4 linked regions of the Pelodiscus sinensis genome follow. The protein of the gene in region 2 interacts with the protein of the main gene of each other region in a pairwise test. Links are inferred from orthologs where the notes say so. Each region holds a gene or a part of one and is shown on either strand. Other genes may lie near its edges.

Region 1 (7,740 bases), on a different chromosome or scaffold from region 2:
GAGGGTCGCCCAATGTTCTGGTGGCCATTTCGCAGCGGTGGCCACCCTCTCGAACGTCACCAAAAATGCCTCTGGGTCGTCGTCCGGCCCCAATTTCGTGAGGCGTATAGGTAGTTGGGTGCCGACCCCCTCTCCCCCTCCGGGCCCTCCAGCTGCCCCGGGTACCGTCACCGGTGTCCCTCGCGCCATTTGCTCCTGCCGTTCCTGGAACTGGTTGAGGAGCTGTTGTAGCGCTTGCATTTGTTGCTGCTGCTGCACTTTCTGAGTCTCCGTCCACCATTCCAAGATCTTGTTTGCTTCCATCGTGTCCTGCTAATCGACACCTCGTTAATTTCTCTTACCCCATCCAGACCCCCGTTTCGGGGCCTGTCGTACCCACATTCTCCACCACGTGTAGGGGATTGACCCCCAGAGGGGCTTGAGTCCGCCCCCTCAGTTACCAAAAGTCGTCTGCCACTCCACGCGACTCACTCTGTGCGTGCCCCACGGCGGTTGGGGGAAGGGGGTCCGGGCCCACCCTCGCTCTGGACCCCAGCCCAGGGCCCTAAGGTCAGGGAAAGACTCCCCATCTAGCAGGGGGGGTCGAGACCCCTAAACTCCCCTGCTCTCAGGGTCCACGTCCCTGCCCTGGGCCACTTCTTCCCCCGGAACCAATCGGTTCACCTGGGTGCTCCCTCGGCCCCCACCCAGGGCCTCCAACACCAGCTTACACTCTCTGGTCCTTGCGGGGGAAGCGTCTCCTCGGCCTCTCCCCCGCTTGCCTGGCTCCCGGCCGCTTTTGAATGGCCCGCCGGTCGCAGGCAGATGACGTCCGTGCCTTCATCTGCCTGCGGCCCCTCCCCGGGCCGGGCGTCATGTGACGTCACCCTGACGTCACCCCGCCCCCGTCCTCTTCCGGCGCTATCTGCCGGCCCCGGCTCGTCACGCGGCCGGGGTGCCGGCCCCCCCGTTCTCGCCCCTGCTCGGCGGTCTGTGCCGCTCCGGGGGGTGAGCCCCCCTGCTATGCTTGCGGCGTCCCGGCGGCTCCTCTCGGCCCCGCCCGCCCCGGCTCGTTCCCCGGCCGGTGCGCCGGCTTCCCTGCGCTGAAGCCGCGGGCGGCGGGCTGTGCCGTCCCGGGGGGTGAGTCCTCCCCCCCTTTCCGCGGCGTGCCGGCGGCTTTCGGGAGGGGCGGGGCTACCCCGCCACAGTACCCTTGAATCCAAATGTTTTAGGTGCAAACGAGAGGAGTCACCACATTTTGGATTATTTCATCACTACTCTGAACGGATGGGTCTTATTCATCCCAGATTTAACTGGCTGGTATTGATGTGAGTTTTGAAGACAGTGAGGTTTTTGCAGAAAACCAGATCTTTCGCCCTGTTGCAGTGATAGTTCTTTCTAGGTGGCTTCCGTAGCCATCAAAAAAACTGCACCATCAAGTAACATGGCATGATGCACAGCTAACAAGACCTAGAATGGATGTTAGTAATGGGAAATAACATTTATGTCTCTGACAACTGTCCTACTAAAATCACTAGCCATTGAAAACTCTCACCATCTGATGTTTATTCAGTGACGTATACAAAGCAACTTTTCCAATCCAATGGAGAGGTGTCTACATCCCAGAGTACCTCAATTAAACCTTAAAACAAAGACTATCGATAAAATTCATAGGGAGACCCATTTATTCACCTTGAATGGCATCTCAGAAGAAGCATTCAGTCAGCCAAGTCAGTTACAAGACATCTTGCTGTGCCTAATATTTTTTCTGTCTTTTGGAATGTCATGTTTTACCTCAACAGTACAATTGGATCTTTCTGGAAGGATACAAAAGGGGCATTCTGGGCATGCAAAACAAAACAAACAAAACAAACAAAAAAACCAACACACACAAAACAAACAAACAAACCAAAACACACACACACAAAAAACAGTGGAGTTGTCAAGACAAAGCTTTTAGCTTTGAACAGATGAGATGGCTACCAGGAAAACTGATTTATAAATGCCACAAATAGCTATTGAACAACCAAATCCAGTTAATATAGCTTTGAAACTTTCAGGGAAACTGTCAAAGGGACAGTACATCCCATGGAGACATCTATATGGTTGACTGAGCTACCAGTATTCCCTTCTGGGAATCCTTGACTTGGCTCAATTTCAGTTTTTCAGAGAATGTCTAGAGGGAGGTACTCTCGGGCCTTTTGGTCTGACCATATCTAGGCTTGGAAGGATTTGATTTTTATTGGTGAAATAAACATTTCTCAAATGTACACTAATGAAGGAAAATGATTTTACTGATAGTAAAAAAAATATAATAATTGTCTGACTTCCCTTCCATGATTCTGAACATTTAATTCTATAATTGGAAAATATTCTAAAAATCAAACATGAATGACAAACCCCTCAAGAAAAATCGAATTCTGACAAGCCTAAGAATTTGGACTGCTGTAAAGCAGTCTGTGAAGGCAGGTAAAATCCTCTCCATATCATTTGAGCGTCCTTATTTTGTTTTTTGGTGGGGAGGAAATGGTGCACTTCAGAGACATTGCGTTCTTCATATTTTTAATGGGAACTACTGGCCCTTTTGCCTCAAATCTCCAGCCAAGATGAATAATCTTTGATGGACTTCTGTCTTGAAGGAATTCAGACCCAACTCTGTCAGTATGTGTTCAAAGGAAGGCCCCAAAACACGCTTGCCCATGACAAGAGTGCCAGACTGGGAAAAACTGCGGATGTCTAAGTGATGAGTGCAGTATAAGAACGTGAACAAATAGAATAGTAACGCTGTCAAATGGAAACCCCCGCTCATCCACCCCCCACACACATGAGGGAGGGAAGGATAGTACTAGAAGTCAAAAGCTTCACTTACCTCTTGACTGGCCTCTAGCTCTGGGCTAGTAGCTGCCTCTGTAACAGCCATATATTAAATAGCTGGGCCTCAGGGTTTAGATTGACACGTACCCCTTGATTTAGAGTATTCCATTCAGATACCACCAAAGGAAGAAATTCAGGCTGCAGCAATAGCTGCACAGTGCATCCTGAGAGCCTTTCGTTTGTGCCTGTTTCTTTCCCAGCATGTGATCGGTTTTATGCAAACGCTACAAAATAGCCTCCCTGAAGCACAGATTACACTTGTAAGGGATGTGTCAGCAGCTCTATGACCCTGATTTAAAAACAAACAAAACCCAAAAACCTGAGTGTCATCCATGTATGTAGTTAAATGCATGCTTTCTTTCACCTTTACCACCGTCCCATCGACTCCTCAGGGAAGCATATACGTAGTTTTTTAAAGAAACTTTTCCTTACCAAGTCACCAATACCAAGTTATTGCAGATGTTGCTAAGTAACTGAAGTGGACCCAGACTGAAAAATGTTTAGGACCCAGAACTACAGGGGAGTCACCATATAGTTCAGATCTGAGAAGACAGTAATTCTGGGGTTTCCTCCTCCCCCTGAAACATCAGATCTGGCCTCAACTGCAGATGGGACCCTGGATGGGGTGGTCAGTGCTCAAAGGCAGCATTGAGAGCAATCAAGAGAAGATGCTCATATATTGGGCTGGCTGGTTCTTACTCACATGCTCAGGGGCTAGCTGATCACCCGAGGTGGCATCAAGAAACAATTCCCACCCCTCCCCCATCACCATTATGGATGAGCATTTCACTGTCTTAGATAAGCTAAGTTACTTATAATCATTAACATCATTCTGAGGTGTATTAACAGGAGCATTGTAAGCAAGACGTAAGAAGTCATTCTTCCGCTCTACTCTGCCCTGATTAGGCCTTAACTGGAGTTCTATGGCCAGTTCTGGGAGCTACATTTCAGGAAAGATGTGGGCAAACTGGAAAAGGTCCAGAGAAGAACAACAAAAATGAATAAAGGTCTAGAAAAAAACAACCTATGAGAAAAGACTGAAAGAATTGGGTTTATTTAGTTTGGAACAGAAAGGACTGAGAGGGGACATGGTAACAGCTTTCAAGTACCTCAAAGGGTGTTACAAGGAGGGTGGTGGTTAAGCACTGGAATAAATTGCTCAGGGAGGCTGTAGAATCTCCATCCTTGGAGATTTTCAAGAGCCAGTTAAACACCTGTCAGGGATGGCCTAGATGGTGCTTGGTTCTGCCAGGAGTGCAGGGAATTAGATTTAATGATTTCTTGGGGTTCCTTACAGTTTTGTATCTTTCTCAGGGTCACTGAGATAGTCTGTGACCCAAGAGGGAATTGAATCCTGTACAATCATACCTTGTACAACTTGTGAGGCACTGCTTGTCTTGGAGAGTTAGTGAGAGCAAAGTGAAAAGAAAGGATGTGTGTGGCAGTGGGGTTGGAGAAATGCTTGTAAGAAAGAGAAAGAGCAGCACAGAGGGGAAGTGATGTAGCATGTGAATGACTGAGCCGGGAACAAAAATCCAGATCTCCTTGTTCAAGCAAGCCAGGGTGCTGGCCGCGAGGCTGCTCAGGCAAGTCTGTGCTTCGAGAGGGGTTACTTTAACAATGGAAGGTCGTTTGAAGGGTGTTTTCTGTTGTTTGATTGCAAATGTGGACTTAAAATTATCATAAACTGGAGGTAGACGAAGACATTGATGGTGAAGACGTACACAGGAGGGGTGTGTGTGTAATTCTATACACGTCCGGACGTTCCATCACAAGAGGTCTAGAACAGAATGGGGAAGCGTGCCTATAAGAGAACGGCATTACTCAATGGAAGGCATTTCAAATTGGTGCTGATAAATTCTCCTCAGCACCACTGCACTGTTCTCACTATGCCAGCAGGTCACAGAAGAACTAGTCTCATTATTTTATGTATTTTTACAAACAGTTATTGGGACTCTTTGTCAGAGCTCGCCTGTAAAGCCAGACTACTCACTTAGAACGATCCTCTGTGCAACGCTCACAGAGAAGTGCTGAAGGTGAACTAAAATAGCTCCCCCTTCCACCTAAAAATAGATACATTTAAGGTCAGTATTTCAGGCCTCTTCAAGGCTAGAGGACATGAATTCCCTTAGGAAGCTGGCAACCTGTTTTTTCCTAGTGGTTTGAAGCTTGTTTATGGCTCTGTAGGGTTGTGATGTATTGTACCTTCAGTAGAACTTGGGGTTGTTCAACCCAGGACTACGGCTCTGGGTGTCACTTTGAGGAGGGAAAATAGGGGACATTCTTCTGCTAGGCTGTTTACAAGTAAGAGAGGATTGTCTGAAGCTACCTGTTTGAGATTTGAAACATCTACACGTGAGTGGAAAAAATGAAGAACAAATCTCACCAACCTTAGCACCCATAGGCACAGGAAATGGAAGTGGAACAAGTGACTAATGGTGGGGGGGATGAGGGTAGGGCAGAACTGGGAAATTCCTAATTACACAAAGCCAACAGCTACGCTCCTGTGTGCATGTGCGGTTTTTCTTGGGGGAAGAGTAAGGAGAACAGAGGGGAGAAGGTGGGACATGCTGTTCCCCCCGGAGAAGGCAGCCCTTCGCATGTGGCAAGCAGGAGACGTAGAGACCTATTGGAATCGGTTCTGAGTTCAGAGACAGTGAGAATTCCAAAGCTGCATATAACAGGGCTTGGTTAGTTTCGCTCTGGAACTCGTTCTCCTCCTTCCTCCTCCCCCTGCACCACAGAGTTCCTTCTTATTATTCCATCACTTGAAAAAGCAAGGAAATTTAGCACAGCATCAGCAATTTCAGAGAACAATGTTGCGTAAATCAAACAGTATAATAGTGCTCTGTGCATGCAAATAATACTCGGGTTGATGTGTACTGATAAACAGGAAACATTTGATTCACCAGCAGTACTGTTTTTCATAAAACAAAGCCATTCAAGAGATACAATTCTCTTTTTTTAGGAGAAAAGCCAACAAACAAAAAAAAACCACTCTTGATTGCAGAGGCAGGAAGACAACAGGGATTTGTGATTGCTAAAAAAAAAAAAAAAGTTTTCACTGTATTTCACTATTTTGACGACCCTAAGACTCTGGAGAAAAGGCCTGTATTGTATCTTTTTTATCCAGAACAAAGAGTCCTGAGACACCTTACAGACGGACAAATTTATTTGAGCATAGGCTGAAGCTCACCTTGTCAGATGCATGAAGTGGAATCTTCAGTTTGGCAGGGATTTACAGATACATGCAGAGGTTTTTGCTAAAACAGTCTCTATTACTATGTGAAGACCCGATGCTAACAAGGCCATGGGTGGATGTGACCTATTCCCAACTTTGCATGTAGCCGTATATCCCTGCCAAACTGAAGATTCCACTTTATGCGTCTGACAAAATGGGCTTTGGTCCATGAAAACTCGTGGTCAAATAAATCTGTTAGTCTTTAAAAGGTGCCACAGGACTCCTTGTTTTTGCTACAACAGCCTAACATGCTTCCCCCTCTGAAACTGTTCTGGATGGTGCTGAAGCACAAATGAAAAGTTCTCTTCTCCCTTAAATCTCCTCCTATTTGTTTTTCCTCCCCTTTGGCCACAAAGTCTCCAGTTCTATTGTCTCCCTTTAAAATAATTGCAAGTACCCTGGAATCACAAGAGTGAGTTTATACAATGCCCCTGTAAGTCCCCGTGCAGAGGACAATATGAGCATAGCAGGATCCTGGCAGCACTATCCTATGCTGGATGAGGTTCTAGGCACTTGTTTGGGGAGGGCCATAAACAATGCTCAAGAACTTAGATGTTTGGAGTCATGGAGTCATTGGCTTAAGCCATCCTTTGAGGAATCCGAGTATGCTCTTGTTTTCCCCATAGATCCCTTGAAATTGGGAGCCCGTAAACTTTGGTAGCTCCCAGGGGAAATTTTGTGTGGTTTTATTAGGAAGAAAGGGGATTGCCCTTCAGCAACCACAACTGCTCCTTTCTCAAGCCCAAGCTGTTTTTTCTCTGGCGTTTCAGATACTTGTAGTCAGACAAAGGATCACGCCACATGACACACATGATCAACGTACCATACGTGTTGATCCAGTTACTCTCATGGGCAAAATCCTTGCAATAGGCATAAATTCCCACCCCAGTTCTGATAACTCAGCTTTTATCCAGATTTATATTAAACCCATAGCTAGGAAATAACTAAGTTAAGATGCAGGCAAGGCTGGCCCACAACATTTTGGCACCTGAGGCGGGGAGCTCAAATGACACCCCCATTCCCCTCACTTAGGACAACAGCAAACACAATTTTCTTCTTTCTGGGTCCTAGTGGCACCCCGCCCCCTCCTCCCAATCGGGCACCTGAGGTGGCTGCCTCAATTCACCTCATGGTAAGGGCAGCCCTGGATGTGGGTAAATGGACAAGAGGTAAAACATAACGAGCTTTATCAGTGTCAAAGTTGTTTTCCCCACTTGCTTAAAATCAATCATGCAGTGGAAAAAATACCAGAGTACCTTTGCCGTTTGTCAAGAACACCTTTAAAATGGAGTGAAAATTCTGAATATCAGCAAAGATACAAATGAATCAGTCACTGACATTACCCTTTGTGAGCTACAAACCTATGGACTAAAGTTCCCCCTCATATTTTCCCATCCATGGGACGATTTTTTCCATCCACATATAGAATAAATTTTGTGTAAACGTGCACCACAGGGCCAACAAAATAAAACCACAAAACCTAGGTGTGGGCACTCTGCTAATCAGCTGGGCGGCATTTGAATGTCTCCTGAGCAGCCGCACAAAAGCATAGCTTACAGAGAGCATTGCTTTGAACCCAATCCTATAAATCTTTGCCGAGTGAAAAATCAATGGGATTATTTGTAGGAGTATAGATTACTCATGCA
Region 2 (7,488 bases):
GTCGATGTCCAGCACCTCAGCTAGTAGAGGCCCACTCTCAAGTGGCCTGTAGGCACTACTGTAATAAACATGACCAATGATAATATTAAACAGATGTGAGGCCCCAGAGAACAGGACAGGCCTGGAATACATGCTGGTGCAATCCCTACCAGCAAGCCCCTCTTTGCCAGGCTGAATATTAAACTAGCCCTGCATCAGCCCAGCTCTTCAGCCACTACCTTGGAAACAAAAGTAATGTGACCTGTCGAGCATTGCTCAGCTGGCCATGGCTTTTCCACCCGCTGGAGAAGCAGCAACTCTAATCAGCAGGTACTATCGGTCCCATGTAGTTAAGGCAGGTCACCAATATCCAGCCAGCTTTTAAAACAGCTCCCTCTGGTGCGATTTCAGGCGGAAGCTGATGATATACCTGAATCTAGAATAGCCCCTAAATTACAGTGCCAAGCTAGCCTGTCACACTGCCCTGAACGCCCTCTGGCTGGATCCAGGAGCATTGCACGCAACACACTGTAAACCCATGTCCTGAGTGAGTTCACGTAGATGCCAGGTAGACCACAGCATACAATTTAATATATTGAGGGTCTACCTCCCGTTATGCTGCACCCACTATGTCAAGGAGAATGTCTGGTGCAATAAATAGCAAGTCTACCTTTAGGGCTACAGGTCATAGTTTTAGAAGCAATTTACATTTGGCATCTGCACTGTTGCAAGGCACAGCCATTAGACTTCTAAATGGCATGAACAGCACCTGCTAACTTCCTGACAGCATCCACATGTAACACAGTTAGATCCCTGCACTGACAGACAGCCCACCCTGCACAAAAACCACAGGCAACATAAATGAATTCAAAGGACTTCTAGGGCCTGTACTATGCAGGAGGCCCGACTAGCTGATCACAATGGTTCTTTCTGGCTTTGGAATGTAGGAATGAATTAACACGTGAAGACAGGCTCTCTGAGGGCATGCAGAGCAACAGCTGATAAATTCCAAACTGAAAGCTATAGGCTGGCCCTGTGGATCCAGTTCCCAGAGTCTGTGTTAACACAGAGACCCGGCCATTTAGACAGACACCTGGTCCCATTTCCCACACAAAACACAGAGAACACAAAACCTCTCCAAATCTTTGCCTTGGCAGTACAACATAGGTGTATGTACATAATCTCTAGAGTTAACAACTGTTACTGGACTGCAGCTCCATTTCTACATCTACTGTGCACACAGGGCCCCTGGGTTTCCAGAGTCCCAGTTAAGGCAGACTGCCTAGAAACAAGACAGTTGCAGGATCAAGGGACTTAAAGAATGCCATATTTTAAGGCTATTCAAGCATGCGCCCACAGCCTTGATCCTGCAACAAGACACCCTCACCCCCTCAAGTCCTGATTTAATGGGGCTCCAGGATGTGCATTTCATTGCAAGTTCAGAGTCTTAGTTTGTGAGAAACAAAGGATCAAATTTCACCATCCTCATACAAACAATTGAAATCACAGAGGAAAGATGTTGAAAGCACCACTTTACGACTAAGGAAGGATGGACTGGGGTGAAGGGACTCAGGAGACCTAGGTTTCATTTGCTGCTCTGCCACAGACTTTGTGTGTGACCTCCAGTTTTCTGTCCTTCCGCATCTCCTGTATAAAGTGGGAAATCACAGCACTGCTTAGCCCTACAAGGGGGCTGTGAGAAGGAGTAGATTAAAGAACTTGAGGTACTCAGCTGCCATGGTGATTGAGCTCATAACAGTACCTAAAATAGAACTGCAGGTACTCAGTGAGGCTGTATGCAGGCAGAGCAGCAGGCTCACATGCTGGCAGCAGGAGGCGTGAGGCATTAGATTTTGAGCTCACTGGGCCAGCGATGTCATTTTCTTTTGCCTCTGCACATAATAAATGTTTGTTGTTGGGCTTGATGTTTCAGATGTTCAGTTGGGGCCCATTCCACAAACCAGAGCTCTCCTCTGTAAATGGGGGACGGGGCATCACATCCCTCTCATAAACTGTGGTCACAGCTGGCTTTTACAACTAGTCAATTCCACCACTGAAAAACATCCCTGCAATTGGAAATAACCATGCTGAAATTTGCCGAGCATGCAGCAGGACTGCTGTCCAGCGTTGTCCTCACCTGTTGGTGGCGTGTATGCCCGTACCATGCACGGCAGCCAAAGACTGGGGCCCCCAACAGGAAGTGTTGGGCACAGCCATGGAGCCTGAGGCAGCCCGGCGTAGAACAGCCGCTGGCAACTGCGCCACATTCTGGGGAGACCGTGAGCTACAGCAAGATGGGAACGGCCTGGACTTGTTACATACAGGTGCGCCTAACACCTTGGGATGGCCTACCAGCATCTAGCCCCCCCCCCCCAAGAGCTCCCTGCCGGGATCACGGCCCCCCCCCCAAGAGCCCCCTGCCAGGATCACGCCCCCCCCCCAAGAGCCCCCTGCCGGGATCACGGCCCCTCCCCCAAAAGTTCCCTGCCGGGATCACGCCCCCCCCCCAAGAGCCCCCTGCCGGGATCACGGCCCCTCCCCCCCCCAAGAGCCCCCTGCCGGGATCACGGCCCCTCCCCCCCCCAAGAGCCCCCTGCCGGGATCACGGCCCCTCCCCCCCCCAAGAGCCCCCTGCCGGGATCACGGCCCCTCCCCCCCCAAGAGCCCCCTGCCGGGATCACGCCCCCCCCCAGAGCCCCCTGCCGGGATCACGCCCCCCCCCCCCAAGAGCCCCCTGCCGGGATCACGCCCCCCCCCAGAGCCCCCTGCCGGTACAAATAGGACCGGGAGGGGAAGGACAGACCCCCGCGGAGCCCACTGTACAGACCCGGGCCCCACTCCCTACGGGGCCGCACGGACGCGACTTGCGAGCCACCTGCCTCCACCTCACCGCCGCGGCCCGGTTACCCAGCCACTCTGCCTCTGGGCGCCGCCATCTTGCTCGCCCAGCGTCCAATCAGCATCACAAACGCTTTTTGTCCCTCCGAGGGCCCTGTCACAAGGCCCTCACAGAAACAACGATTCCCAGGAGCCAGCGCGGCCCCCACGTGACGCCCATCGCCCAATGGGAACGGCGCCCCGCCCGACGCGACGCCCGCTGGGCCAATCAGAGCGCGCGGAGGCGTCGCCGGGAGGCCCTGAGGTAGGCGGCGGGGGCAGCCGGCGAGCGCCCGGGTCAGCAAGGCGGCCGGGCCGGCTCCCTGCAGCCCGTGACACGCTGGCGCCCGGGGACCCCCCCGAGATGCCGGTGCGGAGCGAGTGCTGCTGCCCGGGGGGAGCGCGGGGCCGCGGGGCCGCCAGCCTGGTGCCGCCGCCCCCCATCAACACGGCGCAGCCCGGGGTCGCCACCTCCCTGCTCTACAGCGGGGCCAAGTTCCGCGGCCAGCAGCGCAGCAAGGGCAACGCCTACGAGGTGGAGGTGGTGATGCAGGTGCGGCCCCCCCCCGGCATCCCCCGTGTCCCCCAGCGCCCCCTCGGGCGGGACCCCCACAGCCCCTCCCGGCGCCCCCCCAACATCTCTCCCCTCTCGGGATCCCCCCCAGAGACCTCCCCAAAGCGCCCCTCCCCCCGACACCCCTCTCGAGCCCCCCCTCCTGCTTCCCTTTCTGGGGCCCCCCCAGAGACCTCCCCAAAGCGCCCCTCCCCCCGACACCCCTCTCGAGCCCCCCCCTCCTGCTTCCCTTTCTGGGGCCCCCCCAGAGACCTCCCCAAAGCGCCCCTCCCCCCGACACCCCTCTCGAGCCACCCCCTCCTGCTTCCCTTTCTGGGCCCCCCCAGAGACCTCCCCAAAGCGCCCCTCCCCCCCGACACCCCTCGAGCCACCCCCTCCTGCTTCCCTTTCTGGGGCCCCCCCAGAGACCTCCCCAAAGGGCCCCTCCCCCCCGACACCCCTCGAGCCACCCCCTCCTGCTTCCCTTTCTGGGCCCCCCCCAGAGACCTCCCCAAAGCGCCCCTCCCCCCGACACCCCTCTCGAGCCACCCCCTCCTGCTTCCCTTTCTGGGGCCCCCCCAGAGACCTCCCCAAAGCGCCCCTCCCCCCCGACACTCCTCGAGCCCCCCCCTCCTGCTTCCCTTTCTGGGGCCCCCCCAGAGACCTCCCCAAAGCGCCCCTCCCCCCCGACACCCCTCGAGCCACCCCCTCCTGCTTCCCTTTCTGGGGTCCCCCCAGAGACCTCCCCAAAGGGCCCCTCCCTCCCCAGGGCATCCCCTCCAGTCCCAAGATGCCGCCTTCTGCAGTTCTCCCACCAGGGATTCCTACCCCCCTCCCCCAGCATCTCTCCTCCTTGGGGCATCTCCCCTGAGCGTCCCTCGTCTTGAGGGAACCCTTCCACCACCACCCTGTAGCCCTTCCTGGGGCTCTCCTATGAGTGATCCATCCCCAAGTGTCTCTCCCTTTAGAGGAATCCACCTGAGCGCTTCTCTCTGCTGTGAGGCACCCTCCCCCCCCAGTGCTCCCCTGCACCTCTCCTGGGGTCCTCCCCCAGGGACACCCCCTAGAGTGCCGTCATTTGGGGACTTCCTAGTTTGTCCCTGTCTGCTGCTGGGGTCTTCCTAGTGGGACTTCCCTCGAGAGCATCCTCTGCTGCTCTCCCAGCAGCCTCCTCCTAGAGCACCTCTAGCATCTTCCCTCTCACTCTACCCTAGACTGTCTCCCAGGGACCTCCTGAGCAGCACCTACCCCCCCCCCCCGCCCGCCGATTCCCCCAGTACCCCATGTCTCATCTTTTAGGGTCCTTTCTCTTGAGATCCCCCTATTCTCCTAGAGCACCTCTTGGGGATTCTTCTGTTCACTTCCTGCCCCACTGCGGCCTTCTTTGGAGGACCTCTGACCAGCAGAGCATGGACTTCTGTGCAACCCAGGCACTCACAGGCCCCCTGAGAACTCTCCTCCAATGACTACTCCATAGAGATTTCTTTCCCTAATTCCCCCATTTCACAGAGATCAAGAACCAACATCGGTACATGCAATATTTTATTTTAAAGCATCTTTCTTTCTCAGATTGGGTCCTTGGTCCCTGAGATGTCCACAAGGACTGCCTTCCTTTATGTATCCATGTTGACCCCATAACATCCCCTCATGTGATTTCTCCATTCCTAAGGCACCCCTTCCCTCAAATTGGGACCTACTGCTCCTAAGACCTTTGTTTTGGGTCCCCCACTTCTAGGGAACTTCATCTTCAGAGATCAGGTGGGGACCCCAGACCAAATAGCACAGGCTGGGTCTGTGAGGTGGCTGTCCAGGGGAGGTTAGGGACCCTTCCTACCCAGGGAAGGCCTTCATGACTCCAGATGTACCCTGGCCCAGCAGCACTTGCGAGGGGCAGGTGATGTGGGTGGATCCCCTTCCCCAGAACACCCTTTGCCCCCAATTTGGATCTGAAACTCAAGAGTAGCTGTATAACAGAGAAAAACAATCTCTGATCTGGGCAAGGTAGGTGACACCTTTCTAGGGACCCATCAGGCCTACAGCCCAAATTGCCCCTTCCTGGAGCAGTGGGAGTAGAACAGAGTAAGTGAATGAAACTAGCTTGAGTCTTCTTCCCACAGCTGCAGTTGAGGAAGAAAAGCAGCTGGGACTGGCTGAGTGGGTAGTTGCATGGCAAGCCAGGCTACATCAAGAGGGCTGGGGAGGAAACTACTGCATCACATGCTTGTCATCTGGGTGTAAGCTGTTCTCCAGCCATCATAGACACTGCCAAGCTGTGCACAGAAATTCAAATGACGCCCCCGGTGATTAGCAGAGTCCCACAGCTAGGCTTTTTGTTTCTACTGGTGGTGCACATCTGCACATCCCTCTGTGCACGTATAAATGTATTCCGCACATGGTTGGAAAAGATTAGAGGAAACGTTGATCATAGGTGTTTTGGCCCTGGGGGCTTGCATGGGGATTTCAGCCTTTCAGCCCTGAGATTAACAATCCCTGCATGTCTTGTCTCTGTCTTGGAAGTGTTTGGCTCTCACCGTGACAAGGGGACAATGGCCGTGCCTACTGGCATGTCAGCAGCACAGCTTCAAGGCTGCAGATGTGTCATTGTGGTATAGTGTAATCCCTTCTTACTGCAACAGGGCTTTTTCTGTTGTGGTAGTTAATCCTGCTCTGTGGTCTGTGGTAGCTAAGGCCAGGTCTGCCCAGCTGTGTTGCTCAAAGTATGAAAGATCCACATCCCTTAGAGATATAGATAAGTTGCCTGAACCCAGTATTCTTCCATCGACCAAGCTACTGCGGCTCAGGGAGGTGGAACCTCCCATCTCTGTAGGGAATGTTTACACTGAAGCAGTGTCTTTATACCACTGTAGTGGTTGAAGAGTAGAGATAACCTAAGTGGACAGACACCTCAGTCTAAATGCTTCTACACTGGGAACTAGGTCATCTTAAATGCAGTGATCCAGTGCAAATCTTTCACTCCCCTCAGTCATATAGCTAGGTTGATAAATTGTAAGTGTGGACCAGGCCTTAGAGCAGGGGTGGGCAATAATTTTGGATGGGGAGGGCACTCCAAGATTTTGTTACGGGATTAAGGGCTGCATTTCTATAGAGACGGTGTGGTGTCTGGGGTAGAGGCTGGGTGAAGAAGGGATCTCAGGGGAAGAGTGTGGGGTGCAAGAGAGGGGTCTGAGAGAGAGTTTGGATGAAGGAGGGGGTTGTGACTTGGGGCAGGAGATTAGGGTTCAGGGTCCCAGAGGAGGTAGAGTGCAGGAAAGGATTTTGGCCTGGTAGAGGGGTGTAGGAGGGATTGCAGGGTCTGGGAGGGAGTTGTGACTGGGGCGGGGGGAGGTAGGGTTTGCAGAGGGTCTAGGTGGTGACCTGGGGCAGGGATTAGGGGGTGGGAGTACCAGAGGCAGGCTCTGTTGAGGAGGTGCTTACCTTAGGTGGCTTCTAGCCAGCAGCCCACCAGGGACCCCAAGGCAGCCTATCTGCATGTCGCAGCCCCAGGCTGCTCAGAACAGCTGGCAGCTCCCTCTAGGTGCCGCACACTCCGGCAAGGTGGATGGGGACTTCACATGCTGCCTCCACCCCCATCCAATTATCACAGCTCTCATTGGTTGGTTTCTGGCCATTGGGAGCTGTGGTGATTGGCCTGGGGTCAAGGGCAGCATGCAAAGTCTCCCCTTCTGTCCCAGCCAGGAGTGCGCAGCACATAGAGGGAACCACCTGCTGTTTTGAGCAGCCTTGGGCTCCAGCAGGCAGGAAGCTGAATCAAAAGGCATAGCGGGCCAAATGTGGCCTGCAGGCATTAAAATGCCCACCCCTGCCTTAGAGCAAACCAAAGCAATCAGTCCCAGAAAGGTATGTAGCAAAAGCAGCTGTTGGGGGCCAGCTGTGCTGCAGCTTTCATTTGAGCTGATCACTTGTCTCTGCAGCCCTCCCATTCCTGTTGAGCGTGATTGTTTCTGGGTGCTTTATTTTTAGTTGTAGGCATTGGCATGATCACTGTGAGCAGAGCTGGCGAGATGTGGGATTGTGTATAAGCAGCAAGCCAGACATCTGATACACTCTCGCTATAAAAC
Region 3 (7,394 bases), on a different chromosome or scaffold from region 2:
AAGAAAGAAAGAAAGAAAGAAAGAAAGAAAGAAAGAAAGAAAGAACAATCAAATAAAACTTCTAATTCTGTAGTTCCACAATCTCTGTCTATATGTTTACAAACCTCCTAGCATAAAAGACACATATTATTTACAGTTATATAGAAATTTGCTTTGCTCTGGTCTCAGAAAATGTCAGCAAGTGAATGAAAGGTAATCTATAAAAATTTATTTGTACTGTTAAAGGCATTTTACTATATGGAGACTAAAGTGTCTAAGGTCTGGACTGAGTTAAAACATATTCAATATTTGCTTAAAAGAGTAATTTATTATACAGACCATGTATATGAAATAGACTCCTTGGTTTCCTGAACTTTATATGGCACTTATGTAAACTGGTAATAGTTTTATATGCAGCAAGGTAAGTGCAGTATTAAAGTGATGGCTATCCTCCATTTAAAGTATCAGTGATTGAACAATCTGCCTACTAAAAGGTGAGGGAGGGGTTAAGGTTTGAGCTACTATTTTTCTGATTCCCTCTTAACCCTCACCTTCTAGAATATGACACAAGACATTGAAACAGGCTTTGTAACAGCTGAAAATTGCATGCAGTGTTAAGTTACCATGAAACAAAGGAAATAGTATCAAGCTATTGTTTCCAATTATTTTCAGCTCTGTTGTGGGTATTTGCTTTAGGACACTGAGTAAACCTTAGAGAGTAGGTAGGAGGCGCCATAATTTTAATTTAATAACAAAGTAAAATGTATCTCACCTTTGTAAACTGCTCCTGTCTCTTAAACACACACTGGAAATCTGTGGAATCATCTCCACAACTTTCTTGGTTGGCTCAGAAATGCTGCTTTTATAATCTGAATGGGTCTCCTTTTGCTGCAACAGCTCCTGTTTGGCATATTCTTTGAGCCTCTTGTACAGCGTGCGCAGGCCCTGTGCAGTACGAGGAGGGCGATCTACTCCGATGGCATTGTAGTTATCGGCTATGATATCCCAGCATTTGTTTTTTTCCACTATTACTGAATGCTTATTTGTATGTTCTTCAAGAATTTTAACATACGGCTTCACGAGTTTTAGCAAATCAAGCTTTTCAGACAAGGTAAAATTAGAAGATCTGGCCTTTCCAACCATTCTTATCTCTGAATTAAGGAGTCAGTTTTTGAAACCACCATGCAGTCCCTAGCTCTGCTCAGCTCTTTTTCACAAACAGAAAAAGATCAGGCTTAACTAGGCTAGTCTCATTTAGGCCCACGCCTACAAGGGAGGGTTTATTAAAATTCCTTCAGCTTAAGCTGACGCAGGTTCAGGAAATCTGCTTAAGCCAAGCCTGACCTACATAAGGCTTCAAACTGAAGACGACAGAAAGAAACAAGCAAAATACACTTTAGTATGAAGAGACCAGACATGCACAGGATTTAAAAACAGAAAGGTTTAAAGATAAGCATGTTGTCCAGCTGAAAATAACACAATTTAGTTTGAGTAACAAGCTCTCACACAGATCTCTAGCTGAAAAACTGAAACTGCTCTGAGATTTTAAATGTAATAACGTCAAAAAAGCAACAAATGTTTTGTGTAATTTATTGATTGTTGAAATAAATCACAACAGCAGAAGGAGAAATAAAAACTAGAGAGATAAGTGTGGCGTGTGTAGAGATCCCTAACAGAGCCCCTGATCACTGTTTCCCAGCTGCTGTTAGCTCTTACAGCATTTGCATAATGCTAGTCCTGCTGTCAATCAGGAATTGCATATCCTCTAGCTAGTTAGGTTACACTCAGACTTCACAGTAAAGCTAAGCTTCTCCTGCATTCTGCCGTCTGCTTTAGCTACCTACACACGGGCATTTTAAAGCAGTCTCTGTTAATCATAAAACATGTATCTAGAGTCAAAACAAAAGAAAGATATACACATGAAAAATGAATTGTTCTTTAGCTTCTGCCTGCAGCTGTGCCCTGCTAGAACATGCCTGTGCTGTAATGTGTATGTCATCAACATTCAGTCTGCAGTGCCTAAAAAATGGCATGATCTAACTCCCAGCCTGCATGTAATAAAGGTTACATTCAATCATGACAGATTTACTGAGTGTATTACAGTGTGTGGATACTGGGATTTTCATATTATCCACAAGGAAACAATCTACTTTTATGGTAACACATTCAAGCATTCTTTCAGTGTCAAATATTTTTATTAAGAAGATGTGCATGCTGTACCAGTATAATTCTACATAATGAATGTTTTTCAAAGATACCTCACTTTAAACAGTCTTATTTAAAAATACATGTACGAGGTTTTAAACATCCATGGTCTAAATTAAATCAATAAAATTAAAAAAAACCTCAGGAACTTAAAAAGCTAAGAAAAATAATAGTTCCACTTAAAAGGGGATGTTTGTAGGGTGTCTATTGTGTACATTTTTAAGCACCAAATATGAAAAAAGAGGTCCGTGATGGAAAAGTCAAGAGATTCAAAAAACAAATTTGATTAGAAGAGTTAGTGGTAACAGCTTTTCAAGCTTAACATGTTTATCCTTGAAAAACATAGGCTAGGATGGGGGTGAAAGGAAAGAAATCTAATTATAGTTAAAAGTGTCTAAAGTCAATAAAGACAGATTTAGGTAGGAGTGTGCTCACTCATTTGCCAGGAACTACATTGAAAACAAGTTTAAATAGAGTTTCTTAAAAAAAGATTTTAAGCTCGTTGCAGATAGAACTTAAGAAACAAAACTCTTATCTTGGTAAAAACATTGGTTTTTATGCTTAGCTTGCCCTCTTTTCCCAATACTTTGTTTTTCATCTGTAGTAATGTCTAGTGTGAAAGACTGAGATAGTTTTCTTTCTTTTTCATTTTTCGATCTATGGTTTTTTGTACTCTCCTGTAATAATTGCTATAGGAAAATGGGCATATGTATTTTAAACTGATGCTATGGACAACTGTACATACCACATAGCAAAAGAGGTACTGGAGTGTGACTAGGGATGTAAGCGACTAGTCTACTAGGGTATGTCTACACTACCCCGCTAGTTTGAACTAGCGGGGTAATGTAGGCATACCGCACTTGCAAATGAAGCCCGGGATTTGAATTTCCCGGACTTCATTTGCATAAGCGGGGAGCCGCCATTTTTAAAACCCCGCTGGTTCGAACCCCGTGCAGCGCGGGGTGTATCGGTAGTTCGGAATAGGAATCCTAGTTCGAACTACCTAGTTCGAGCCCCGTGTAGCCGCGCTGCACGGGGTTCGAACCAGCAGGGTTTTAAAAATAGCGGCTCCCTGCTTATGCAAATGAAGCCCGGGAAATTCAAATCCCGGGCTTCATTTGCAAGTGCGGTATGCCTACATTACCCCGCTAGTTCGAACTAGCAGGGTAGTGTAGACATACCCCTACTGAATAAGCAAAAAGCTTATTGGATAGTTGGTCCCCGCCTCCCCCTTGCTTTCTGGCTCCTGGGTGTGACAATTTAATCTAGAATCAATGGTTCTTTCAGGAATTTCAGGGAGTCTGCCAATCAGGACCATAAACTTGCTGGGGCTCACAGCAGAAAGCCAAAATACCACCACATGGTACTGAAATCTAGAGCTCTAAGTCCTGCCACCCTAGGCTGAAACCAAAGCCTGGGCAACTTAGGCTTTAAACTTTTAAGTTTAAAACGCAGCCGTGGTAGCATTTTAAACACGAGTGCTGGGGGAGAGATCTCTCAGCACTCGGTGTGTGGCGGTGCATCGGGGATTCCCCGATCCTGCACCCCGTCTCAAGTAAGATATTGTTCCTTTAGGAAGGAACAATCAGTTCCATACATACAAGATGGGAAGCGACTGTCTAGGAAAGAGCATGGCGGAAAGGGATCTAGGGGTCATACTGGACCACAAGTTGAATATGAGTCAACAGTGTGATGCTGTTGCAAAAAAAGCAAATATGAATCTAGGTTGTATCAACAGGTGTGTTGTAAGCAAAACTCGTGAAGTCATTCTGCCGCTCTACTCTGCACTAGTTAGGCCTCAGCTGGAGTACTGTGTCCAGTTCTGGGCACAACATTTCAAGAAAGATGTGGAGAAATTGGAAAGGGTACAGGGAAGAGCGACAAGAATGATTAAAGGTTTAGAGAACATGACCTATGAAGCCAGGCTTCATGAACTGGGCTTGTTTAGTTTGGAAAAAAGAAGATTAAGGGGGGACATGATTGCGGTTTTCAAATATCTAAAAGGGTGTCACAAGGAGGAAGGCGAAAATTTGTTCCTCTTGGTTTCTGAGGACAGGACAAGGAGTAATGGGCTTAAAGTGCAGCAGGGGAGGTTTAGATTGGACATTAGGGAGGAAAGAGGCACAAGCCCCCAGTGGGGCAGACCAGGGAGGCTCTTAGTGCTCCTCAGGGTGGAAGCTCTCCCGCAGGGCCTCCTGGATACTGACAGCCCCCTGATGGACCTTCCAGATGGCAGCCTGCAGCAAGTGCAGCCAGGCTTGCAGCAACGCGTCCACAAGAGGTACCAGAGTGCCCAAGGGCAGCTCTGGCTCCACGTTGCAGAGTGCTGTGGTGTCTCGAGTGAGGCAACCAGAGCACGCAGAAGCAAAATGCTTTGCTGTGCCTCATCGAGGTAGGCAAGCAAGCAGGGAAACCTGAGAACCGGCTGTCCGGGTTGGGGGGGGGGTCCCTTTAAGCACAGGCCTCAGATACCCTCAAGCAGCAGGCACACAAAGTAACTCCTGACCTGATGCCCTGCTGGACCTGGTTCCGTTTGGCCTTAAATGTGATTCAGCATCCACTCAGTGTGGACGCGCTATTTCGAAATGTATTTTGTGTGTAGATATGTTATTTTGAAATAACTTATTTCGAATTAACTATTTTGAAATAACACTGTAGTGAAGACATACCCCAAGTGTATGTGTGTCTGGCCCTGAATGAGAGGGCCATCAATTCTGAATGACTACGGGGAAAATGAATTTGATAAAATGAGCAATAAGGCAAAAAACTGATTCTCCCAGTCTGTCTCCAAAAGCGGCTAGGACTTTAGCCACCTGAGTAGGACTCTGAAGTCATGAATGAATTACTTTACAGAAGGGACAGAAAGTTTAGTTGAGGTCAAAATCTACTCCACTCCCTCTCTCACTCACTGACCACTGCCCTACACTTAAATACATGGACTATGTCCTGAGGACTACAAGAAGGCATAAGGGCATATAAGTTTTTGTTATTTCACCTAAAGATCTGTAACTCTTGTATGCTTTGAGAATGAATGTTACTTGGTTTTAGAAAATAATGCACAAAGTTTGTGTTCCTTATTTTACCTGTCAAATGGTCACCAAAGAGTTAAGCTATAGGCCAGAGTATCCAAAATGGATTTGATCTCAGAGAAGCGTCAGCAACTGGAGAGGTTTAGGAAGTTCAGCACAGGTCTTGAGGACTAGGGCAGGTGGACTGTGTGATCTCAAGTCCCTATAAAAGGTTTCCAGCAAGGATCTGCACCTAGAAGTTATTCTTATAAGCCCAGATCTAAAGATCATAACAGGATCTACCCACAGCCCACATCCCACCATGGGATCCAAAGGCTGAGTTCAATTATGACAGACTGGTGCCCATACATAAGGGGAAATCAGTCAGGTCTATACAATCTTAATTAAAGTGCCTGGAGCCTTTCAATTTCCCTTTAATGAGACATATCCTAAGGCTTCATTTGATGTAGGGATATTAGCTTATAGGCAGTTAAACAATTAACCGATCAGAGTGAGGTTATCAGTAAATCCTAACAACTACATGCACTCATCTCCCCGCTTGCTGCTTCTGTATCAGAGGCAACAAACTTCCTGCATCAGAGGCAGCAAGGCTGAAGGAGGAGGCGGGAGCTGGTGCCCATGGGGAGCTGGCTTTTAAGTTGGCTCCCTGAGCGTGCTGGTTCCCAATGAGCTACTTGTCTAACTGCCTCCCACAGAAGCAGCAGCACAGGTGGCAGGCAGGAGCTGGTATATGCAGGAAGCTAGCATTTCAAGCTGGCTTTCCACACATATCAGCTCCTGCAGAGCTGCCTCTCCCCTTTTGCTGCCTTGCACAAAGGCAGTGGGGAGTGGGGAGGAGGGAGCCAGTGCTTGGCGTGCGGGGGGAGAGCTGGCTTAAAAGCTGGCTTTCCACAAGCAAGAGCTCCACAAAGCTGCCTTCCTCCACCTGAGCTGCTGCCTCTGTAGCAGCAGCAGCAGGGCGTAGAAGGGGAGGACAGGCGGGATGCTGGAGAAGCCTCTGCCATGGGAAACTCGGCCCCCAATGAACAGGGGCTGCTGCCTCTCTCTGCAGTGGGCCTGGGTTTGCTGCAGACAGAGGCTGCTCTGTAAGATGCCAAAGCAGCCTCTGTCCACAGGGAGCTTTGGCCCCTCACAGACAAGGGCTGCTGCCTCCCCGCACTGCTGCCTCTGTATGATTTTTAAACTGGCTCCTCTCAGGGACCAGCTCCGTCAGCCACCCCACACAGCTACCTCTGATACAGAGGCAGAAGCCAGGATGGCAAGGGGTTTCCTGGGAGCGGGACCAGGAGCTGGGAACACACTGGGTGCTGGCCCAGAGCCTGGGGGGGAGGGGAAGGGTATTTTAATAACTGTGTAACTGCTAAAATTGTTGTGGCTATATGATTACTAAAATAAATAATAGCTAACATCCCTAATTTGATAACCCTAATCTCTTCCCAAAACTTTCTATCTACAACTCCAATCTTCCCACAGTTTTTTTATTATCTTGTAACTATGATGGGATGTCTCTCCCGCACTGTCCCTTAAAGGGTAAAAACCAGCCCTAGGAATGGGCTGGAAGAGCAAAGCCCTACAGCTGAGGGAGGTACTACAGGATTTGTAAACACTGTCTTGTGATGAGGACAGCATACCACCTGAGTTTCACATTCCAAGTCAATAGCCTGGAAGACCAAGTGCCCAAGATTCTATTTTCACTGACTGAAAGAATATGTGATTCACTTACTGAAGTCTTGCCATAGACCAAATCAGAATGAGAAAAAGTAGCAGAACTATGAGAACCAACCATACTTGTAAGAACGGCCAAAAAACTCTTCCTAACAGAAGGGATTTTATATGGGAAGGTTTAGAGGAGAGATGTGGTTTGGGACAGTTAGTGAATCTTTAGACAAAGACACACATTATAAGGAATCCACAATGAGATGGGCCACAAAGAAGCAGAAAAAATGTTAGAATTGGCTACAAGTTGATTTTATTGCCCTCAAATTAAATGAGTGGTGGAGAGAAAATATTAGAGCTGCAAGTATAGTCTCAGAAGGAATGCTATTGTAGAGAAGTCTGCCAATCTTCTGAACATTAAAGCATCTGTTCCAAAGAAAACAGAGGCAGAGCTGCTGGAAGAGACTCAAGTAAACAGGCGATCTCAACAGAAGGTAGCAAATGCAGATATGCAGACTGAGGAAA
Region 4 (7,455 bases), on a different chromosome or scaffold from region 2:
ACTATACCTTTTCATATAAGTCATTTGCTTTCATTGCCCAAACTGTACGATACGTAAAAAGTTAGCAGATTAGTCGACTCCACTCTTGTCCAGTCAAATTTCACTCTCATTTTCACACAGTAGTGCAATTTTGGAGTTGTTGGTACTTCAGGAGAATGTTTAAAACTAAACATACCTGTTTTCATTGTGGAATTGGAGAGGTTTAAATCATTTCATAAGATTTCTGACAGATCATATAACTAACAGTATGGTGGAATAAATAAAAGAGTTATTTAACATAAACTGTTTGATTCAGTTTCACAAAGTTTTCCAAATGATATTTCAGGAGTCAAATAAAGCTATACTATACACTATGCTAGTGAAAACACCACTACCACAGTCAGGCACAAATTTAACCATGACATTGATTCATACTAAATCCTTTTTCCTCAACACACACTGACTGTCACAAACTAAACAGGATACAATTTTTAGTATGATTAGGAATGTAAAATAGTGGTTAAGTGGTTAAATAAAATGTTTAACTGGTTAAACCATTATCCTGTGGGCTGGGCTGTGGGGATGCTGCTCCAGCCAGGCTGGGCCCGCCACACCATGGGCTGCTTCAGCCAAACCAGGCAAAACCCATCAAACCATAGGCTGATGCCTGCTCTGTCTGGACCAGAGCAGCCCCGAGTCACAACATAGTATGGTGGACCCAGTTGGGCTGGAGCAGTCCCTGTTATCCATGTTTTATAATCTGCAACAGAAATACAATAAATGTCCACAGATTCCAAGCAGTCTATATATAGAAATTAAAGTAGTCTATGAATATTTTAAAATGTTAGTAATATTAACAGAAACTTAAATAATCAAGAAGTACAAGTTCCTAAGATTAAGTAACCAAATCTGAAGTACAGGTGCTTTTGTGTGTTCTTAATTTCTTTAAAGTTAAAAGCACCATGGGAGAAGACAGATTTCCAGCGGGGAAAAAATACACGAAGACAGAAAAATAACTAGACCCACAAAACTGAAGTTCAAGATTTGGTAAAGCGTGATGAGACTGATTTTTAAATAGTTAATGATTCCTTCATTTATCAAATACTGTTCAACATTAAGGGTGTGTCTAGACTACAGAGTTTTGTTGACAAAACTATACCTGCGTCTACACTACCGCTGAGTTCTGTCGACATAATGTCGACAGAACTCAGCAGTTTTGTCGATGCTGGTAAACCTCATTTTACGAGGCATAACGCCTTTTGTCGACAGAGTTCTGTCGACAGAAGGTGTTATTGCATCTAGGGTTGTGTCTAGACTACATGGTTTTGTCGACAAAGCAGCTTGCTTTGTCGACAGAACTGAATGTAGTCTAGACGCTCTTTGTCGACAAAAGCTTTGTCGACAAAACTTCTGTAGACAAAAGCCTGTAGTCTAGACGTACCCTTAGATGCAGTCATACAAAAATAATTTTCTCTACAATGCAGATGCCATTAACAGCTTATGTTGAAGTTTAATCACCTCTAAAGACAGCTATTAGCAGACTATACTATATAGCAGTAGTCACAAACTCAATTTACCTTAGGACCAGTATCAGTCCTCATATTCTCCTTGCAGGCGAGTGGTTACCCACTTCTGGCAGGGCTCCAAGGGTCGGGAGGAGTGTCTCCACTCCCTCCTTTTCCCCCCTCTCCCCTTCCCCCGTGCATCTCCCAGCCCCACCTGCTGCCCCAGATGATTTAAAACCTGCTGATGCCCCCTGCCATTACCGACAGTGACATGGGGCTAGAGTGTCTTCCTGCTACTAGCTCCATGCTGTCCCAGTGGCCCAGGGGAGGTTTGTACAGAGCTGTCCCATCCATAGGTGTAAGATGTGAAACTATTAACTCATTTTGATAAACTGACTAGATATCAGTGATGTCAACTCTCCTGATTTTATCTCAAGCCTGCTGATGATTGGGGCTTTTTTTTCCCCACCCTGGAAAGCACATTATGAAAATGAAGCTATATCTGGGAACTTCACTAACTGATGCCTCATGCACCGCTATCAACTATGATCGCTCTGATTTAGTAGATTATGCTTGTTTATTAATACATGGTATTAAAAAACAATCCCAGCTTTCTTTCTTTTTCTTTTCTTTTTGTTTAAGAAAGACTTTTAAGTCTTATGGTTTGTGGAGAAAAGCTACAAAATTTGTCCCAAGTTCAGCCAAAGACCTCAAACACCAGATGCCAAATACAAAGATCCCCAAGTGTATTTTTATCTGTGATTTCAAGAATTAATTCTCTTTTTGGTTGTCTGCAGGGGCCTATTCATGAATTTTGAACTCTTGAATTTAGCAAAACAGTACATGCAAGGTGATTGGGCTCCTGGGCACAAGGGGAGACACTGACAGAAACTAGGATCCTACAAAAGACATAAAAATGAGTCTTCACTCTGACATCTCTGCTCCATGTCCTTCTGCTAACATCTGTACCCTCACACTAGGAATCCCAGCTGCCTCCCTACTGCTAATATCCACATCCTTGCACTGGGATCCCCATCCCCATCCCCACCCAGGGTAACCATAAGCAAAATCCACCAGCCCCACCCTGATGGCTGCAGAAGTGAGTCAGCGTGGCCAGTACAATTTGCATCACAGTGAAGGCCAGGACTATGTGTGTGCGGGGGGCCCGAATGCTGGTGGGAGCCATGTGCAAGGGTGAGCTCCTGTGTGATGCCCACCTCTCCCCACCCAGCAGCCACACAGGTCTGATTAAATAACTTTTTTCAAAGTATTTCACAGGCTAGATTAAGAAAGAACCCAGGCTGCAAATGGCCTCTAGGCTGAGAGTTTGAGACCCATGCTATATAGGATAGCGTGACAAGGAAAACCAATTAAAATGCTGAAATGTAAGCTTTGATGTAAACTAAAATATATTAAATTATTTAAATGCTAAAAATTCAATAGCTTCATCACCCACATTATTCTAGCTAACCTGACAACATACAAGATCTCTTTAGAATGCAGGACAAGAAGGCAGGACAAGAAGTCTACTTCTGAAAACTGAGTTAACATGAAAATCATTGCTGAGCATTCTCTAAAAGACTTGAAGAGCATCACACAATTCAGCATGACTGGCATGCCCTATTTAAGGCTATAACAATGTAGATGTTGTATGTTGGGAACGATGGAGAATGATGGGGGGGATTTTTCACTGTGTCCAAGTAAAGATTTGGTGTTTCACTTTCAATAGCACTAAATTCATTGGGGTTTATTTTTAAAGCACACTGCACATCTTTTCTGTGAAATAACTGATGTGCCTGGGGGTAATTTGCTCACTTTGCAAGAGGAAAACAGAGATTATCTAGAGTTGTTAATATGCTATACAACCCCATATAATCTCTCAGGACTTCCATGGGAGTCCTGCCTGAATAAGAACTACTAGTCTCTGTTTCTGACAGCCACTTTTCACTTTATATGATTTCTCTTTTAATCTAACATACAAGATCGTACCAAGAAGTAGAGATCTAGGTATTGTGTATCCTACATTAAAGCCGAGACAGAGAGAGCAAAGAAAAGTCCCAGAAAGAGTTCCGTCTCCTTGTAGCGCTGCAGAAAGTTGTAACACGTATATTTGAATAACTGTGAGCTTCCAGCCAGGGAATGGAACTACTGATGAAGCTGCGAGGGGAAGAGGAGTAAAAGGAGTAAGCAGTGAGCACGCAGCTCTGGCAGACTCACAGCACGAAGCCGGGGCTGCTCGAGGCCACAGAGAGAAGCTCTGACTGAGGACCCCGCCGTTCTGCCGGAGGCAGGTGACGAGTGACAGCCCCGGACAGCAGTAGCATTATCACAGCGCAGCGAGTGGGGGCCGAGCCCTAAGGCTCTGTCCCATGGTTGCCCCCGAGAGCAGCTATAGATGCGCAGGGGCCCGCGCGAGGTACCTGCGGGTGCGGGGGCGCTCGCCCCCCGGGGCTCCGCGGCTGCGTTTGCTCCTCCACGATTTTCTGCTTCAGTTTCTTGAACATGGCGACGGCAGCCCCCGAGGGTCCCGGGGAGGAGGGGGGAGCCGAGGGGGACACGGGGAGTCGCCCCCACTGCCGATCCCCCCCCTGTGGCTCCGGGGCGGGGCGTCCCTTTCCCTCTCCACTCTCCCGGCGGCCCGGGGCTCACGGGGGGTTGGGAGCCGGGAAACGCTCCCGGAATCAGCCAGCGCCGCAGCGGTTTCCGGGATCCCCCACCCCGGCAGGTGAACAAAGAGCCACTGCGCCTGCGCGGCCAACGTGGAACTGAGACGAGAGGACGCTATGGCGAGTAGCGAGGCTCAAACCGCCGCCAGCCCTGCGAGTGCGATTCCCAGAAGAGACTGGCGGCTGGGCCGGGCCGTGCCCGGCAATGGGCGAAAGGCAGAGGGAGCCGCTGAGCAGCTCAGTCCCCTCTGCCTGGAGCAACGCCCTGCACGTGCCTTTTTAGAGAACGGGTTTACCTGATCCCCTAGGAGACTCTTCACCACGTGAGACTTAATCCGCCTTTTCCGTCTCCAGCTTCTAGGACAATGGGCAGCTCGCCCCGCGGACGCCTCCACCCGCCGCCGCACCACTCACCTTCTCGACAGGCGACCACCACTCCGCCCAGTAGGTTCCTGTTTGTACCGCAAGAACATAGGGGTCCGTCAGTTTTTTGTTGAAAATGAGAAATAGGCAAAGGAAACTGATGCTCTAGAAATAGTTATAAGAGGGGAATCGGGTCCGCGGCACTTGAACATTCCTCTGTTGCCAGTTCAGAGTGTGGCTCATCTTTAGCGCACAAATTTTGGCCACACGTGTGTAGAGTGAGAGAAGGACATTCCCCCAGTTACTCTCTTTCCAGTATATGATGCCTAAATGTCTCGTGCTCTGTGCCTAATTGATACAAGAAACATTTTGTTTCCTGTCAGTCAGCAATAATCAGGTGATGATTCCTAGGGATGATAATTGGTTAACCAGTAAGCATACGTACTGGTGTGCTTAACTGTTAACCTGTCCTTGCAGGTGAACTCAAGCGATGGCCAACCATACTGGGCCATAACAGCCCCAGGTTCAGATGAGCCAGAGAGCTGGGTGGTGGGGCCTCAAATCAAAATAGTTAACCACTGAAATTTATGCACATGATTAAAGCTAAAACTGTGAGGTGTCCCATGTACATTAGTGCAACTACTTATGTGAGTAAAATTTCTGCTCAAATGCATAATGGGATGAGGGCCTTATTCCTTAAGCACTACTCAGGACAAATGTCCATGAAATATTTTGTATCTACTAAAGTTACAAGTGACATCTATAATTAAAATAAAATAACTTAGCAAAACTCCCACCCCTTTTCTTTACAGTTTATTTTACCTATTTGATAGCATTTTGTGTTCGGTTAGTTCCACTGTTTCCCCACATAGTCTATCAATTTCTCTCTCATTGACTCCTATAAACACTTTTAGGAGACAGAAAAAAAGACTTCTTATTTTTAAAAAAGAAATTCCAGGATGTGTGCTGTATGAGAAACTGGACTTTTCAAAATCAGTCAATTTAAACATATTGGCTGTGTCTAGACTGGCAAGTTTTTCCGGAAAATCAGCAGCTTTTGCGGAAAAACTTGCCAGCTGTCTACACTGGCCACTTGAATTTCTGGAAAAGCACTGACAATCTCATGTAAAATAATCAGTGCTTTTCCGGAAAAACTATGCTGCTCCCGTTCGGGCAAAAGTCTTTTTCCGAAAGACTTTTGAGCAAAAGGGCCAGTGTAGCCAGCATAGTGCTGTTTTCCGCAAAAAAGCCCCGATCGTGAAAAAGGCGATCAGGGCTTTTTTGCGGAAAACCGCGTCTAGATTGGCCACGGACGCTTTTCTGCAAAAAGTGCTTTTGCGGAAAAGCATCCTGCCAATCTAGACGCGCTTTTCCGAAAATGCTTTTAACGGAAAACTTTTCCATTAAATCATTTTCGGAAATTCATGCCAGTCTAGACGTAGCCATTCAAGTTGGCATTATCACTTTAAATCAAGAAACAGGTACATTTATTGTTAGAAGTATAGAAGACTGGCCATGCTAGGTCAGGTCATCTAGCCCAATAGTCTGTTTTCAGCAACAGCCAATGCCAGGTGCTTCAGAGGGAATGAATGGAACAGGTAATCAATCATCAAGTGATCCGTCCCCTGTCACCCATTCCCAGTTTCTGGCAAACAGAGGCTAGACACACCTTCCTTAACTGTCTCATCCTTCAGGAGCAAGCCTGGGGCTAGACATGGGCACAGCGGGGAGGCAGGACCCTGGGGGCTCTGGCAGGAGGGGGGATTGTTCCTGGCCCAGCCTGGTTGTTCTGCCAGCTCCTCCTTGGGGGGTGCCCTGTGCGGCCTGCTGGCCCCGAGCTCCCCTGCAGGAGGATCAGGGGGTGGTGGTGGCTCCTGTCTGGGCTCCCCGGGGGCCCCATGGGAAGCAGCTACAGCTCTCTGCTCCGCCACCTGCTGCCAGGCTCCAGATCCCACATCCTCCTGCTCTGGTTACCGGGCCCTACCAGTGGGCAGCTGTGCCTTGGTGGGGGACGGCCACAGAGGGCACTGAGTAAGCTCTGTTGCTCCTCCATGCCCATACTTCCCATCCTGCTGCTTCCAGCCCCACTTCTGCTTCCGGCTCTCGGGCCCTGCCGTTCTGTGACCCAGTGGGAAACCACCACTGCCACCTGTCCTGGGACAGCGGCGTGGCCTAAGACAGGTGGTGGCGGTTCCCTGCTGGGTTATGGAGCCATGGGGCCCAGTAGCCAAAAGCAGAAGCAGAGCTGGAGGCAGCTGGATGGGAAGAGGTAGGGATGGAGGAGCCAGCAGAGCTCACTGAGCACCCAGTGGCCGCTGCCTGCCCCAGCCAGTGGCCTGAAGGCCCTGCGCCCATCCTGGTCACATTGCCTGAGGGCCCTGCATTCAACCTGTGGCCCCTGCAGCTGCCCCAGAATCCCCATGACAGGATGAGTATAGCGGCCAAATGGAGGAGGGTGGCAAGCATAGCAAGTAGGTGGCACAGTCCCTTAGTATCTTTTATTGGACCAACTTCTGAAATTGAGAGAGACAAGCTTTTGAGCTACACAGATCTCTTCTTTAGGTCTGGGAAACAAATATCACAGCCACGTTAATCAGCCACTTCACCTTGAATGGTCCCTTGAAACGTGTGAAATATTTACCTTTTCTAGCTTATTTAACTGTGACATGCTGATTATTTTTCCAATACCTTTAAAGTTTGTCTCTTATTGGACCAATTTATGTTGGTGAGAAGGACATTACGTAACACACTTAGTCTAATATTCGTGGACATGATTATAAGGATGTGTGTTTGTAGGATTGGGACCTAGATGTGCAGATTGATAATTACATTTTAAACGGATATCTGTATATTTTTATTTATTTTTATTTGCTTATAAGATCTGAGTTCCAGATTTAATAATTATCCTACTACTCCTGACACTGCTATCCCTGCCAGCTTGG

The links.
Region 1: the proteins of ATPAF2 (region 2) and PAK5 interact in binary tests that used the Homo sapiens proteins (3 or more experiments, as listed by UniProt). The two-hybrid records come from large-scale screens. The link is inferred for Pelodiscus sinensis from reciprocal best matches to the Homo sapiens genes ATPAF2 and PAK5.
Region 3: the proteins of ATPAF2 (region 2) and FSBP interact in binary tests that used the Homo sapiens proteins (3 or more experiments, as listed by UniProt). The two-hybrid records come from large-scale screens. The link is inferred for Pelodiscus sinensis from reciprocal best matches to the Homo sapiens genes ATPAF2 and FSBP.
Region 4: the proteins of ATPAF2 (region 2) and LRRFIP2 interact in binary tests that used the Homo sapiens proteins (3 or more experiments, as listed by UniProt). The two-hybrid records come from large-scale screens. The link is inferred for Pelodiscus sinensis from reciprocal best matches to the Homo sapiens genes ATPAF2 and LRRFIP2.

The regions. Positions count from the first base shown.
Region 1 is NC_134713.1:190,345,298-190,353,037, reverse strand, and holds the start of PAK5 (serine/threonine-protein kinase PAK 5), read right to left. Parts: upstream 3,020-7,740; 5' UTR 2,900-3,019; coding exon 2,849-2,899; intron 1-2,848.
Region 2 is NC_134726.1:33,122,735-33,130,222, reverse strand, and holds the start of ATPAF2 (ATP synthase mitochondrial F1 complex assembly factor 2), read right to left. Parts: upstream 3,017-7,488; 5' UTR 2,859-3,016; exon of another isoform or gene 2,807-2,858; intron 2,264-2,806; 5' UTR 2,247-2,263; coding exon 2,117-2,246; intron 2,044-2,116; exon of another isoform or gene 1,827-2,043; coding exon of another isoform or gene 1,742-1,826; intron 1-1,741. Other genes in the region: GID4 (glucose-induced degradation protein 4 homolog), read left to right, coding at 3,221-3,409. UniProt on the Homo sapiens protein: Plays a role in the assembly of the F1 component of the mitochondrial ATP synthase (ATPase).
Region 3 is NC_134712.1:40,533,077-40,540,470, reverse strand, and holds the start of FSBP (fibrinogen silencer-binding protein), read right to left. Parts: upstream 3,018-7,394; 5' UTR 1,123-3,017; coding exon 752-1,122; intron 1-751. UniProt on the Homo sapiens protein: Transcriptional repressor that down-regulates the expression of the fibrinogen gamma chain. Represses transcription of GSK3B gene promoter via its interaction with APBA1.
Region 4 is NC_134712.1:173,017,391-173,024,845, forward strand, and holds the start of LRRFIP2 (leucine-rich repeat flightless-interacting protein 2), read left to right. Parts: upstream 1-4,444; 5' UTR 4,445-4,594; exon of another isoform or gene 4,595-4,861; intron 4,862-7,455. Other genes in the region: GOLGA4 (golgin subfamily A member 4), read right to left, coding at 3,905-3,988. UniProt on the Homo sapiens protein: May function as activator of the canonical Wnt signaling pathway, in association with DVL3, upstream of CTNNB1/beta-catenin.